Tamandua tetradactyla: one gene and its partners. The protein of the gene in region 1 purifies or fractionates together with the protein of each later gene. This does not show direct contact. Links are inferred from orthologs where the notes say so. Each region holds a gene or a part of one and is shown on either strand. Other genes may lie near its edges.

The links.
Region 2: the proteins of HDAC1 (region 1) and GLI1 purify together in Homo sapiens (affinity purification with western blotting; 3 studies listed by BioGRID). This does not show direct contact. The link is inferred for Tamandua tetradactyla from reciprocal best matches to the Homo sapiens genes HDAC1 and GLI1.
Region 3: the proteins of HDAC1 (region 1) and CCT2 purify together in Homo sapiens (affinity purification with mass spectrometry; 4 studies listed by BioGRID and IntAct, counting the BioPlex papers as one, with this or other methods). This does not show direct contact. The link is inferred for Tamandua tetradactyla from reciprocal best matches to the Homo sapiens genes HDAC1 and CCT2.

What each region holds. Positions count from the first base shown.
Region 1 is NC_135328.1:193,616,534-193,621,810, reverse strand, and holds the start of HDAC1 (histone deacetylase 1), read left to right. Parts: upstream 1-1,894; 5' UTR 1,895-1,996; coding exon 1,997-2,045; intron 2,046-5,277. UniProt on the Homo sapiens protein: Histone deacetylase that catalyzes the deacetylation of lysine residues on the N-terminal part of the core histones (H2A, H2B, H3 and H4).
Region 2 is NC_135333.1:124,767,747-124,773,023, reverse strand, and holds the start of GLI1 (zinc finger protein GLI1), read right to left. Parts: upstream 3,518-5,277; 5' UTR 3,408-3,517; intron 1,024-3,407; exon of another isoform or gene 950-1,023; intron 253-949; 5' UTR 226-252; coding exon 126-225; intron 1-125. UniProt on the Homo sapiens protein: Acts as a transcriptional activator. Binds to the DNA consensus sequence 5'-GACCACCCA-3'. Regulates the transcription of specific genes during normal development.
Region 3 is NC_135333.1:138,142,635-138,147,911, reverse strand, and holds the start of CCT2 (T-complex protein 1 subunit beta), read right to left. Parts: upstream 3,776-5,277; 5' UTR 3,604-3,775; coding exon 3,601-3,603; intron 2,940-3,600; coding exon 2,865-2,939; intron 2,765-2,864; coding exon 2,699-2,764; intron 2,031-2,698; coding exon 1,919-2,030; intron 1,592-1,918; coding exon 1,515-1,591; intron 1,412-1,514; coding exon 1,299-1,411; intron 481-1,298; coding exon 278-480; intron 1-277. UniProt on the Homo sapiens protein: Component of the chaperonin-containing T-complex (TRiC), a molecular chaperone complex that assists the folding of actin, tubulin and other proteins upon ATP hydrolysis.

The DNA of each region.
Region 1 (5,277 bases):
AATAGGAAGATGTGCCCACTTTGGACCTACCTGCCTCCATAGAGCTGAGCAGTAGCCTCCCCCTTTAAAAAGTAGGATGTGAGAGCTCCCTTTTACCAGAATCTCCTCCACTCCTTATTGCTCCCAGACAATAAAATGGTGTATTAGCAGCTGTTGTTCCTATAATAAAGAGGAAAATGAATTTTTTGTCTATATCATTTAAAAGTGAGAAAAGAAAAGATATCTGAAGATAGCAGTGTGTTTGAAGAAAGATGGGGGAAGGTATATTTCTTTATGAAAGTGAAGACTAGTTCAATTCTCAAAATATGCAAAGAGGAGCTGCTGAGTCAAAATAATAAAATCCATTCATTTACATCACCTGCATGACCTCTTTAGACATCTGAGTTTGTGTCTGTATTTTTATAAAGTGCCGCCAACTTCTGATCTCATTTGATCTCCATCCTTCTCCTGTGTTTGGACATAGTCAGTGAACTTTGTATTCTTATCCTCCCTATTTTATGAAGAGGGAAATGGAAGCCCAGAAAGGTTAAGGTATCCACTCAAGGCTAGCCAGGAACTAGCAACCTAGAACTTGCAATAGGATTTGTTCCTTGGCCTTTCCCATGTTTATAACACCATGGCCCAGTCTTAGATCTCCACTGTTACCTTTCAAATTAATAGCCCAAATGCAATCCCTAAGTGAGGAACACATGTCCTCGAGCATTCTTTAAATGTAAAGAGGCATAAAAATGCATCTTAATGACTATAGGACCACTAGTAAGTTAGCATAATGCTTGGCACATGGTAAGCACTCACTAAATATTAATATTTTCATAGTCGTTATTTTAATAACTCAGAACAGTGTTTTTCAGTCTCTTAGCTTGCAATAATAACTGATTGATGATGGATTAGTCTATTGCAGTGGTTCTCAAGAGGATAGTGGGGTGATTTTTAACATCAGCTTCCCCTAAGGAGACATTCAGCAATACAGGAGACATTTTTGGTTGCCACAGCTAGAGGCAGGGGGCAGGGAAGCTGCTCCTGGTATTTAGTGGTAGAGATTAGGAATGGAGCTAAGCATTCTAGAGTGCACAGGACTGGCCCCTACAACAAGGAAGTATCTAGCACAAAATGTCAATAACTCCTAGATTGAGAAACTCTGCTCTAGTGTAAGAACGTAATCCAGCTTCCTCCTGTCTAAAGACACTCCTTAGTCCTCCTGGCTGATTTAGGGAAGTAGGCTTTGGACTCACAATGACTGGCTTCTGCCACTTTGTTACAGTGCCTTTGACACATAGTAGGCGTTCAAAACACCTATACAGCTGAAAATTGAATTCACGTACTAATTGTGTGACTCTGAGCAATTCACAAATGTCTGACTTTCATTAATCCTAACTGTAAAATGGGGATTAAAAAGCCCTCTTCCGGAGTTTTTCTGGGGAGTAACTGAGTCAACGTCAGTAAAGCTATTGCACAGTACTTGGCCCATAGCGGGGGCCTCCACAAACATTAATTTTCTTTCCCTTACTTGTCTATTTCTTCCTCCTTCAATGCATTTTCTAATCTAGTCAGTCCCTTCATTAAACTGGGTGACCTTGTGCAAGTCACTTTTCCTCTGTAGGCCTCAGTTTATTATCTGTAAATTACAAAGTTGACTTCTCATCTCCAAGCATACTTTCAACAACAAAATAACACTGTGAAGTTACCGACCTGTCTTTCTCCCCCGGGACTAATGGTACAGTCCCCAGGCTCCCCACCCCCCTGTTGAGGACCTTGGTACAGGCCCAGGGGGCCCTCGGCTGCTACTCCGGGCTGCCCTTACCCCCTGCCGAGTTCCGGGCCCGTCCCCGTGCGAGCTGATTGGCTGGAGTGGTGCCCGGGCTGCGCCGCTATAGGTGAGGGGGACGGGCGGAGCGGGTTGGAGGCCCGCCCTCTCTCCCCTGGGACGGTCCCTGAGCAGAGCCGTGGGCGAGAGGGCGGACGGACTGACTGACGGGAGGGACAGGAGGCAAGCAAGATGGCGCAGACTCAGGGCACCAGGAGGAAAGTCTGTTACTACTACGACGGTGAGCACCGTCCTCACGGCGGGGGCGGAGCCTGGGCTGGGCCGGGTCGGGGAGAGGGAGACTGAGGTCGAGATCTGAGTGGAGAGGCTGAGAGAGGCTGAGGCTGGCGGAGGCGTTGGAGGGAGGAAAAGAGTCGAGGCTGAGAGGGGAGGCCGAGAAAGGGAGGTCGAGACTGAGGGAGGAGGCTGAGAGAAGAAAGGAGGTCAAAGCTGAGAGGAAAAGGCGGTCGAGGCTGAGACCGGGAGAGGGTGGTCTGGGGTCAAGGCTGAGATAATCTCAGGGGCAGGCTTCTGAAGAAGTCCGATGTGGAGAGTTTGAGTAGGGCTCCTGGAGGGGAGGCTGAGTCTGAGGGAGGAGGCAAAATCTGATAGAGAAGGTAATAAGGATAGATTTCCCTGCTGGGACTACACATGTCTTTGACTGTTTCTTTTCTTCCTCACCGATTTTGGTGAGAATCCGGAGGGAATCGCCGGCTAGAGGTTACCTAGTATTCTCCCTCCCTCCCATCTCTGAGCCTGGCCTGTGGTTGCTACTGGGAAATAGGGTCCCTCAGGTTGGAAGAAAGATGCAACCTGTTAAAACAGGCTTATCCATTTAACAACAGTCTACCGAGCAGCTTCCTCTGTACTAGGTAGCATGTAGGTGCTGGGATGATCTAAGTCACACTTCCCATTTTCAGCTCGCGGTGTAAAAGGGGGGATAGACATTGACAGAGAATTACTCCCAAGTTCAGTGTTGGGATAAAGGAGAGCTCAGAGTGTTATGGGAGCACAGGAAGAGTCACCCAACCCAGCCTGGGGAGTCAAGGAGGAAGGTATCACCTCAGTTACGACCTGAAGAACGAGAATTTATTAGCCAGGCACAGGGAAAGCTAAGGTAACAACAAGTTTAGAGGCAAGACAAGGACAGCACCTTTGAAAAACAGCGAATATGTGTACAGTATGGTTGAGGCATAGAATTGGGGGCAGAGTATAGAAGGTGAGAAGCAGGGATTGAAGGTAATGAGGCTAGAGAAGTAAATGGGGACTAGATAATGAAAATCTAGGTGTGCCCTTCCAAGGAAGTTGAACTTTATTCTGAAGGCACTGGTGAGCTATTGAAGTTTTAAGGACATTACTGTCATAATCAGGTTTATGCCTTACAGATATCACTCTGGGGCAGGAAATAAGTTCATGAATGTGTAGGGGTAAGAAAGAAGGTAAGGATTCTAAGTTTCTGGCTTGTGTAATTTGATAGTGGGTGTTTGGTGAAGGCTGTCTCAGTTGATAAATTTGTTTCATTTTTTTTTTTTAATGTAATACCTGTTGAGATGTCTGGTGGATAGCCACGTAGAGACACCCAGTAAGCCCTTTGTCCAGGTCTACAGTTTAGAAGACAGAGATGAGAAGGTAGAGATTTTTGGCAGCCATCCCATATACCTGGTGATTTTAGTCATAGAATGGATGTAGTCACAAGAAGTTATGTAGGATGAAAAGAAAAGAGGATCCAGAAGGGAATACTAAAAAGGAGCAACATTTAAAAAGTGGACTGAGGAACAAAAATAAAACACAAAAACAAAAGCCAAAAAAAGTGGACTGGGGGAAAGAAACCTAGTACCCCCCATCTCTGAATTCTCCTGACATTGCACTTGACACTGTGTACTGAAATTGTCGGTATACTTGTTATTATTTCTTGCAGACAGTAAGTTCCTTAAAGAAAGGAACTATGCCTTATCCACCTCTTTATCCTCAGTCCCCTGAACAGTGCCTAACTCACAGTAGACTCTGAATAAATGAATAATGACACAGAGGGAGTGGCCAGACAGGTTAGCAAACCAGAAGTCTTGGGTTACAAAAGCCCAAGGAGGGAGAGAGTGTTCAAATATTGGCAAGAACCGTTGCTGTGCTGTACACTGGGAAGTGAATAAGTGGGTGAAGAGGAAACATCAGATTAAACCCTTTTTGAGGGAAGCTTGTCTGGAGCAGGGAGAGAAGAATGTTGATAGAAGTGGTCATGTAGTGGCTGAGAGTTGCACATGTTCAAATTCTAATGGAAAAGAGCTGGAGAGAGAGAAAGGTTGAGGGTACAGGAGAGAATGGGGCTAATGGTGATGGAAGTTCTTGAGGAGACCAGGTGAGATGGAAACCAGAGCACAAGGAGGGGCACTATCCTTCAAGAGGAATTTCCTTTGTGACAGAAGGATAAGTGGCAAGAAAAAGTTCAAATATAGGTGAGTTTGAAGGGGAGAAGATAAGGAAGGTTGAGGGAATTCTCTGGATGAAGTAAGTGAATATTTATTTTCCTGAGAGCGAGGGAGGGCAAATGATAGAGTAGGAATCTTGAAGAGAGAGAAGATCTGAAGTAGCTGTTGTGAAAGAGAGTAGAGGAATTGTAAGAATTGTTGGGCAGTGGTGAGGCCCATTAGAAGCTAGAGCCTATGACTTGATAGCTACCTCAGTTTGCATGGTTTTGTGATCACCACACTCTTGATTTAAAAGAAGAGAAAGTGGAAAGAGCTGAGTCTTTGGAGAAGAAAGCAAACTCGTTACTTCTTAAGAAACTGCTTGTGAATTTTGCAGTGAGGTCATTAGATTGTGAATCAGATTTGGATCTGCCACTGAGAAGCTTTGCAGTATTGGGCAGGTCAGTTTACCTTTCTGGGCCTCAGGTCACTCCCCTTTAATGCAGAAATAAAAGCAGTTCCTGTTATAAGAATAGTGATGGACCATTCCTTTAAAATTTAAAGTAATATCTAAATAAAAAGTATTATTTCCCCTATTCTTTTCCATAAAGTCTCTCAGCAACCTATTTAAAAGCTGTTAGGGGCAGTGTAGGACAGTGGCTCAGCAGGCAGAGTTCTCACCTGCCATGTTGGAGACCGGGGTTCGATTCCGGGTACCTACCCATGCAAAAAAAAGAGTTGACTCCCAAATCACTTGTTAGCTATGTGATTTGGGGCAGGCACGTACTTCCTTTGAATCTTAGTTCAATTCACTGAATCTTTGTGAGCCTCTGTGATGTACAGGGCATATTTGTCATTGCCTTCAAGTAGCACCAGTCTTGTGAATATAGATAGATGTAAATAACTCAGATACTAAATGAAATTAAGTGCTATATACAAATTGAATGCAGAGGAAAAGACCATTCTAATCAGGAAGGTGTTTGGGGCTTGAGCTGATCATCAAAGATGAAGAAAATACATCCTAAGTTGATGGAACAGTCTGAACAAAGGATACTTTGGTGTTAAGGTGAA
Region 2 (5,277 bases), on another chromosome or scaffold:
TGACGTGGAGGCTCAAGTTCTCCTGTAGATGGGAAACTGGCATGGGGCAGGGGGTAAGTCTGAGAGGGATCTCTGGGGCTGGGTGAGGAGATTTGATCAAGGTCCAGGGATTGGTATGCACTAACCTTCTGTCCCCACATTGGAGGTCCCTTGACTGGGGAGGGACCGGAGACAGCAAGGCTCGCCATAGCTACTGACTGGGGGTGGGGTCATCGGGTTGAACATGGCGTCTCAGAGGTGGGTGTGGGGACACTGCAGAGGGAGAAGGGAGAGCTGCAAGTTATAAAGAGAGGAGGGAAATGGGAAGATCAGACAATTATCTCAAGCACAGAACCCTGGGCAAACCTTCCCCTGTGCCCCACCTTCTCCAAGACATGTGCTTGTGGGAAATCAAGTTGAACAGAGCATCACAGACAGGGAAGGGCTAAGGAGAGACATCCCAAAGAGACAGAGGCAGTCTTGGGGATCCTTGGGGGAATGAGGTGTGAGCTTTGTCTGGGTGTTCGGTGGGGTGGTGGTGGTTATTTTGCCTATAAGAACTTCAAGTGATGTTAATGCCACCGGACTCTTCTTTCTGCCCTGGCCATGGGCCTGCTTTGAGAAGTGGGATGAGGAAACTCAGCCCCTTTGCTTCTCTTGTCCCTGCCCTGGGACAGCCGTCTACAATCTCTCCAGGGTCCAGTAGAGGGAGCCCTAGCCACAGTCCAGCGAGGGAGCTGGGGCAGCCAGGCGGAAGCACCAGTCAGCCACTTCTCTCCCTCTTAGGCAAACCTGTGTTTACTAGTAGGAAAGGCATCCCAACATGTCTGTTGGGTTCATGGGATGGAAACTGGTGTTATTCTGGGGCCACTTACATATGGGCACCCACTTAACCCCTTTGGTCTCTGGGGGGAACAGAAAAGGGACTTGTGAAAGAAGCCTTTGGGAGAATGAAAAAACAGTCACCAACCATTAGAGAGGCGTTGTAAGGGAGGAGAGGGCGCTGTTGTCTGCTCTTCTACTTAAACTCCCGGTTTGTAGTCCATCCCGGGCTTTCCGGTCTCCCGAGACTGAGGGTGGGGTGGGGCGGGGTGGGGTGGAGAACCACCGGGAGCGGGCCGGCCCGCGCGGTGGGTGATCCCAGGATGCCGGGATTTAGGGTGAGGGCGGGGTAAAACGGGGAGCGGAACCCGGACCCCACGACGCAGCCCAAACCCCGCAGCCTGGGCCATACCCTTCCCAACTCCTTTCCAGCCGAGATCCGGATCCCGCATCCAAGACCTCCCAACTCGATCTTGGCACTGAACTGGGGGCGGGGGAGGGCAGCTCTGGGGGGGGGGGCACAGCTGGCTGGCAGCTGGACGGGGGGGGGCACTTCTCCCGCCTCCTTCCTCTATGACTCACCCAGGGGAAGGAGGCGGCTCGCAAATGACCCCCCAAACACTTGAGAGACTCCCCCAAACACGTCCTCTTTCATCGTCCTGCCCCTCTGCCCAGCAACCCGGGAACCGCTATTGAAAGGGGCGACATCCCTCCGGCCCACCGTGCTGCAGCCCACCCACGTCTCTCCTTCATTCTAGTGGAAGGAAAATTTCGCCAACTTTTCCAACTTCAGCAAAGCTTTTTCCTGGGGTGTGGGTGAAAGTGCGGAATGGGACAGGGAGCCCCAGGTTCCCTGCCGGAACCCCAAATCATCTTCTGTGTCTCCCTATTTTCCAGAATCCCCCTCGCACCTCCGCTCCCCCATCTCGGAGGAGCCGGCCCCGCCCCGCCTCCTCCCGGTCCCGCCTTTCCCGCCCCCGTGCCTCCTCGGCCCACCCAAGTCGCCGCCGCAGGCTCTGGCTGCAGACGGCTCAGCTTCCCCCGCCCGCCCCGGGAGCCCAGTCGAGCGAACCGTAGTGGAGGGGGCGGTGGGGATGAGGGGCGGGACACATTCTTCCCTCCTCCCCTCAGTGCATCCAGAAAGCAGGCCACAGCGCCTTGGGGGGACACCATTGGAGAATGGGGGTCCCCTTAGCAGGGAGGGGAAGAAAGATTCCAGAAAATGCTGGGAGAGAAAATGAGCGGGCAAATAAAAAAAGATGTGTATGGGAGGAGGGTTCGAGACCCCCTAGGTTCCCGGTATCCCAGCCGGCTTCCCAAGGGTTAACTCTTTCCAGACCCCTGGGAACCCCCTAGTGACGTCAAGGGCGGGGTCTGCGCCGCTAGGCGGGGATGCCAGAGAGATAATGGGGAGGGGGTCTCTGGACCCCGCCCCCCTAGGGAAAACCACTCTTATTCCAACCCTTCTGCCTCCCCGGTGAGATCGCCCCGCCTTCTCTCTTCTGGGGCATAAAGACCTATCCTATGAAGACCTCAGTTCTCCAGGCCGCTAAAACCCTCACTCCACAATCCATGGGGTCCCCCTTCCCTAGGCCTGCCCCCGAAGCTAGCTCCCAGAGCGGATTGCTTCGGGGTCACGGGGCCTGAAAGAGACTTCAGAGAGGGGAGCAAGGGCAGGCAGGGTGGTCTGAATCGGAGGAGGGGCTTCCCTTCCTAGCTCCTGTTTGGGCGTGTGCATGTGTGTGTGTGTGTGTGTGTGTGTGTGTGTGTGTAGCCAACAGGGATGCTCAGGCTGGCAGTGGCCAGTGGTCCCGCCCATCCTCAGTAGGGGTCTCCCTGTGGCTGGCCCTAGCTGCCCTGGTGGTCCTGAGGACAGAGGGTCAAGCCAAGGTCTTCTGAGCTCCTCCTTAGCGCCCTGCCCACAGCCCTTGGGACTCAGGAGCCCAAATTTCTTCGGCAATCTTTCTAAGGCCTAGACAAGACAACCTGGGCAGAATCTCTCCAGCTCCTTTCCTAGCTCAAAAGACACTTTTCCCCTAAAACACATGCACCTACGGGCATATCTGTCACAAGACAGGTCAGGGGTTCAAACCAACTAACCCTCTCCCCAGTGGTTTGGTCCTCTTACCACATGCACCCCCATCCCCATCCACCTAGGGCTCCCTCCTTCGCTGTCCCCTCCTCTCAGAGACACTGACATCTTCCTGCCCAGAGCTCAGAGACACACCTGGAGTTCTCTTTAGGGCGCAGACCTCTAGTTAGCCGTGCCTCCAGCCCCTTCATCTCAACGTGATAAAAGTGAGATGTTTCTAATACATGGGAGAGACACAGGCTGACAAAGAGACCCACAGCTGCTTGAGACAGACACATTGACTGTCAGTCACGGAAAAAAAAAGGGAGAAATGGGGGGGGGGGGGTGTAGGGAACCACAAATGAAAAAGTTCTCCAAACTTTCTAATATCTCACCCCAGACTCTCCCACCCCCATTTTGCCTCTGTGCCCCAGGTGTCCCTCTCGGCTGATCTCAATCCCTCGGAAACAGAGCATCCCCTCAGGCCCCCTCCCCCCACCGTCCCAGGTGGTCCCCCGCCTGCCCCCCTTCTCACCTCCGTCTGGGCGCAGGGCTTGGGATGCGCGGTCCAGGGCTGGAGTCTGGGCTGGGGGTGTGCGGTGGGGAGGGGGGGGCGGACAGGGCCACGGCGGCGCAGCCTCAGTGCCACCCCCACCCCCCCAACCTGGCCCCCAGCCCTCCCGCCGGCCCAGCCCGCCAGGCCTCGAGTCGGGACCACCCGCGAGAAGCGCAAACTTTTTTTTCCTTTTGCAAAAACTTTTTCTCGCTCTAGCCTCTGGCGCGCCGCGGCTCTTCCCGCTCGCCCCTCACCTCCCTCCTATTTCCCTCCCTCCTGCCGTTCTGGAAGATGAGGCGGGGTAGCTGGCAGGGAGAGTGGGGGTGCCGGGCTTATTGCACCCCCAGGACCCCCAGGATCCTCCCCCTCCCTCAAGGGACCCTATACTGCCTCCCCCCCGCACTCACCCCCCCCCCCCCGCGGAACACGCTTCTGTCGGTGGGCAGTAAATCCCGGTATGGATCCTTGGATCGGCTGCCCACGGAGAGACCCTGAACCAGGATCAGAAAAACAGACTGGGAAATTTATTAGGGGGCAGTGGGGGCAAAGAAAAAGTTATTTGAGAAAGACAGTATTGGAAGTAGGGTCGTCGACTGTGATAGGTGCTAACTTAGCATTCTGCCTTGCTGTGGTTTATATGCCCGTCTCACCCTTTGGAAGGAATTGGGAAGGGTTAGGACAGTTGAGGTTCGAGAAAGGGTTGAGGGGTTGGGAACCCTGGATGGATGGTGAGGGGTGCATAAAAGAGGGAAACAGCGACTGGGGAGGTTCTGGGTGCAGAGTGTGTGTTCACAAGGCCACTAAGGGAACCTGAGCCTGAGGTACTGTTCCCCAAGAACCGCTGATCTTCTTCATCTGGAAGTTCTGGAGACTACCATCACCTCTGCTCGTCTCAACTGCTTGCTTTCTCTTTCCTTTCTTCAGGGTTTTCTGCTCCCTCTGCTGGCCTTTTTGGCACATGACATCTTCTCAGAGTCTGTTGGAGAAGCAGTGAAACTCCGGGAACCTAAGGAGTAGTAGGCTTCTCTTGCTCTCCTCCACCACCCACCCAAAATCCAGGTAGGAGCTCAGGGTGGGGGATATTCGAGCCCAAAGAAGCAGAGGGACACACTGGCAGGCAGAAGCTGCTAGTGCAGAGCAGTAGTGTTGAACTGAACAGGAGTGTCCTGCCCCTTTGGATTTGTGTTGCCATGGTGATCAGATGCAGGGGAAGGGGCAGCTATTTTAGTCTCTTACCTTTATGAGAAAGGGGAGAAAACATGGTGGGGGGAAAGAGTTCCTTCTCCTTTCTGTCACCCCCCAGACAGACTTCCACACCTGAGCTCTGCTTCTAAGGACGACCTCCTTGGGCCTGGAGGGTCAGCGGGTTACTGGTTTGGTCTGAGGATTCTGGGGTAAAGGAAGCCAGGGAGAGGTTGGGGTCCTACAAAGATAGGTAGTAATTATGGGGGCAGAAGGAAAGATTGGCATTCTATTTGAGCCTCCCTCCCCCACATGACTTTGACCCAGGCTCTGGTTATACTGAAAGGATCAGGGACCCAGTTCAGTCAGGCCAGAGAAATGGTCAACGCAAAGGAAGGGATGTGATCCCTACATGTGCTCCCACCCCAGCCCCATGCCCTTCCTCCAAGGGAGCACTCTCTCTGCACATAGGGCTTTCACCTCCCCACCCAGTACTTTAGACCATTGGTTCTCAAACTTTTTAGTCTCAGGATTCACACACTTAAAAATTATTGAGATTTTGTTTATGTGGCTTATATCTATCAATTTACCAAATTAGAATCAAAATTGGAAAATCTTTAACACAAGGATATGCAAGCACTCATTCCACCAACAACGACATCAGAAC
Region 3 (5,277 bases), on another chromosome or scaffold:
AGAATGCTTACACACTTTATACAGGACATATTGAGAAGTAAAGACAATATAAAAACACTTCAAAAAACTCATACTCTATAAAACACAATTAAAAAAAACACAATATAACAAACAGATTAAAATGACATAAATAGTTACAATATGATTTGTGTCCTTTACAAGCTGATTAGCTTTGTATAGCATCGCTGGCCTGGACTAGCTAAAAACAGTATCTGCATAGTTTTTACCCCTCAGCATACAAAACTCCCATATTTGATACACACACAGACACACATACCTTCATCTAAATAGGAATCTACCAGACTTCCTCCTAGCTTCTTGATGACATGAATTGCCTCTAGATTGCCAGATCCTTTCAGTCGGAGAACAGCTTCTACAGCTAGCTTAGTAAAGTGGTCTTTGTGATGGGTGAGAAGTTTTGAAGATAACGTTGTTCCTGCAATGTTCATTAAATCTTGACGGAATTTAACTTCGTCAGAGCTAAAAACAAACAAAAAAGGATATCATATCTGTTCTTAAAATGCTTCTCTAAAGATATCAACTCCTTTTTTCAAAATTTATTCAGATACCCTATGTCAAATAGGTAATCTCACTCCAAATGGCAAGTGTTCTAATTTTTTAATGTACGCAATTTGAAAATAATTCAACAATAATCAAGAAATGCAAATTAAAAGTACCATTTTCCTCACCAAAAAAAAAGAAAAAGAAACAAATCATATTCGCACACGCTGTCAAGAACACAGGGAAACAGTCACTGTTATATACCTAATATTTTCTAGAGATTTAATAATGTAAATAAAAATGACTTAAAACACCTATATACCTCAGACCCAGCAATAACATAATTACTTGGTAACAAGTTTGTCACATTATTATAAAGCTAAAAATTGGCAACAACAACAAACTTTCAACGTAGACAAGTTGAGTGAATTATACCATAGTCATAAAAATCAAATGACTATAGTAAAATTAATACTGCTGAGAATATCTGACATTTAGAAATGTGCTTAGTATTCAACAAGGTTAAAGAAGCTAAAAACTCTCTATATAATATACTACTTGCTTTCTGTTTGCATCTTTGTTTTGATTATATAAGCAAAAAACCCCAGAAATCTAAACTTTGATGTTGATGGCTATCACTGGAGGATGATGTGGGTTTTTTTTTATTTGGGGAGGACAGCAGCATCTGTTTGTGCTTACCTTTCAGTGCTCTCCAGATTTCCTACGCTGAGCATGTTATAAATGAATGCGAAATTTTAAGAGTAGAAAAGTAGATAGTAGTATTTTGGTATACCAACCCATGATCAACTGCAGAACTCAACAGAGCCTCTCTTGCTGCCTTTGTAGCTTCTCTCCAACCAGCAATGATGGTCTGTGGATGAATCTTCTTTGCAATTAAAGTTTCTGCTTCCTATTAATAAACAGTGGAAAGCACTTGTCAATAGTGAAGATGTGATTACTGCTATTTAAACTACAGTAGCAAAACAAAGTTAAAGTTGCAGTTATTTTCTTACCCTTAATAATTCTGCTGCTAAAACAGTAACAGAGGTAGTGCCATCACCAACTTCATCATCTTGAACTCTGGACATATCTAAAAAAAATCATCTATTAACTCATATCTAATTCTGCTTTTTGCATTACTTCTCTATTGCTTAATGCTCCAAATACATCAATTACCAATCTAAATCTCACTTACCTAAGATTCCTTAACCTGACAGTCTCTGGAACTTTAAGGTCTGCAATGTAATAGTTTTAACCACCAATAATTATACTGCATTCTAGAAGCTTGTGTTTTAGTAATAACAATCCAGTAAAAAGTGGTGGGCAATTAACTGAAAGTACAATTAGTTAACACAGCCTATTAAAAAACAAGCTTCTTAAAATGTTAATGAAACAACAATATTATCCTCAGACTCACCAACTAAAACTTTAGCTGCTGGGTTGTCAACACCAATGTTTTTTAGAATAGTTGCACCATCATTGGTTACCATAAGAGAGGCATCTCGTCCACTGCTTAAAAGAATTTTATCCTAAAGGGAATATATTTGATCCAAGTTAAGACAGAGGTACATTTTTTTTTTCAGAGGTACATCTTGAGGAAAGTGGGTCAATTAGTATTCTCACACACTGTTACTGCATAAACACTCTGGATAGCTAGCTATTTTGATGTATCTACTCAAATTTTTTCAGTATGTACACCCCAAAACAAAGCCCTAGCATTTAATCCTACAAACACTACAAAGCACAGGGAGACAGGAATAAGGTTTGTTTCAGCACTGTAACAGTTGAAACAAGGGGAACAGATGAAGTGTCCATCAACAGTCATAGTAAACTATAAAATAATCAAATTGCTTCTCGACAGTTAAAGTGGAGGTAATATATCTACTTACGCTAACACAAAGCAAGCTACAGAAAAAGTGTAACACACACATTAAGTACACAGAAAGATATCCAGAATATGTAAATCAAAATAACAGTGGCTGCCATTGGGGAAGGGACTAAGTTTGGGGAAGGTGTTCTATCAAGACTTGAATGGGTACTATTTTGATTTTTAGTGAGAATATATTTATATCTTACTTATATAATTCTAAGTTTTAAAGATAAAAAAAATTTTAAAAACTAATCGTTATTAACTATATCTCTACCAATGACTCTAAAACAGTATTAAAATTTACAAAAACATTCCTGTTTTCCTTACCATGCCCTTAGGTCCCAAGGTGCTCTTTACCAAATCTCCAATGGCGATAGCACCAATGAAAGAAGACTGAAATAAAGTCAGAGAATGTCAGAATCAGTCACCTTTAAAGTCTTAAAGGAAGAGTACAATTTTATTCTTAAAAGCAGGAAGAAAAAACAAAGCTCACCAGACGAGCTGTCTCTGCTCTTTCTTCATCAGCTCCAGCCTTGAAGATGTTAACAGGTGCAAGGGAAAGGGATGCCTAAAAAGAAAAATCAAGAAACCTATAATTTGAATTATCAGTACTCTTTAACACAGTATGTTCAGAGTTCTTCCACTAGACTTAGAGTTGATATCTAAGCAAAAATTTTACAGCACAGTGTACCTGCTCTACATCAGAACAGGTGAGGCGGAGCTTGCAAAACCTGTACCAAACTAAATTATACTCCAAAGAAACTGCCTGTTAAGTACGGCACAGCTAAAAATAATTTTAAACTACGAATAAGAAAGTCGGGATCTGCAGACCACCTCGGGAGGATCGTCCGGCAGGCGAGGGAATAATGCCGCCAAGGCCTCCATCTTCAACCCTCGAACCTCCTGGACCCGCCCCAAGAGGGAGGGCAGAGCCAGCCTGGTGTACTAGAAATTTCTTCGCTCGAGCTAAGGCCTGGGCGGCAGAAATTCTGGAACTGTGGAGGCCGCGGAATAAGGCGTTACCTTTGAGGCCTACTCTTCTCCCCGCCCGGCGTAGAGGACTCACACCAGTGGGCACCACGCAGGCCCCACGCCGCTGCCCGCGCCATGTGCGGCGGCCCCACGAGAGAGGCACTGGGAGCCCGCGGCGCTGGGACAGGAGAGCGGGCAGTCGGGCGGTAGCCCACCTCGGGACACAGCAGGTCAAGAGCAGGGGTAAACGGACTCACCATGGCTCCAAAGAGTTCAGTACGCCCGCTAATTCCTTTACAGCTCACGCGGGAGGACTGAGAAGATGAGGGACACGGAAGTGACACCACACGCTCTTCTGGAGGGGGCGGGACCAGGCTCCGCGCTCCGCCCCAGACGCCGCTGCGCGCAGAGGAAGGGAAGAGGACGTTTTGAGTGGAGGCTCGCGAGACTTAAGCGCAGGTCTTTACACGGCAGGGGGCGGGGCCTCGGCCCACGCTCCTCCCTCTGCTACAGCACCACCCTCAGGCCCGGAAGGGAGGAGTCTGGCATTCTGGGTGGAGCCGGGCGGATTTGGCTGTGGGCGTCTTGAGGACAAAGAGACGCTGCGCCGCAGGATTTATCATAGCAACGGGGTTCTTGCCCGCCCTTCAGTTTTCTTTTCTTACATTTCGTTTTTAATGATTTGTTTTAAAGTAAACATACACAGTGCAAAGTGCCATATACTAATCATGGAAAACATAATTCTCCTACTGCATCATTACTCTTCCTAGAAGCAACGCCTTTGAACTTTTCCAGCTTTTTTTGGTTGTTTACATCGTATTCTTAAATATGTTTATTGCTGTTGTAATTTAAAATATGGCTTAGGTATTAAGAAGGAACACATACTTTCCTTTCACTGAATTTTAAAACGCTGCTTCTAATTGGAAGATGACTGCGCCAAAGGGCAGTCCGGGGAACTCTGGAGTCCTTTATCTTTGCGCATTTTCAGAAGGCTTTGCATTTTATTCGTTTTTTTTTCTCCTCACTAGTGGAGATGACTAACATACTCTTACATAATGTCTTGGTAAAGATAAAAAAATCAATGCCAAATATTTCAGATTTTAAAAACAAACAGTATTCTTATTTCCCAAAATGACCTCTAAGACTATAAAGCCAGTTAAAAAAAAAAAAGAAAACCCATTGGTTTTCTATCATCCGCTATTATCCACTTTTCTTCTGTTGGCTAGTTGCTTAGCAAGCTCCTGATTTTTGACAATTGCTTACATTTGACAGGTATTTTCTATTTTAAATTGCCTTTCTGCCTTTCAATACACTTTAAATGGGGAGGGTTTACACCAGGGTTTGGCAAACTATGGGAGACAAATCCAGCCTGCCTCCTGTTTTTGTATGGCCCAAAAGCTAAGAATGGTTTTTACATGTTCAAATGGTTGTGAAAAAAATTTTTTTAATGATTTTGTGATGTGAAAATTACATGAAGTTCAAATTTCAGTGTCCATAAAATTTTATTGGAACACAGGCATACCCCTTCGTTTTTGTACTGTCTGTGACTGCTTTTGCAATACATTGACAGAGTGAGTTATTCCACAGTCCTGTAGACACTTTGTGGCCTGTCAAGCCTAAGGTATTTATTATGGGATCCTTTACAGAAGATATTGCCAATCCTGGGTAACACTATTCCTAACATCCAATTTGAAAAGGAGTGTTCTAACTGAGTAAATTTTTAAAATCTACCTAGAATTTTCTGGGGTTTTGTGTGTGTGTGTGTTAAAATTGGTCTTTCAAAAGGAAATGCACTTCATTGGGCATATCTCAAATTGCATTCTGGAATGAGAAGAGTCACTATAATGAGCAGCTAAGATGCCTGCATAATATTGTAAAAGGCTACTTTTATTGTGGGCAAAATTACACATTGGGAAATATTTAATATTATGTCA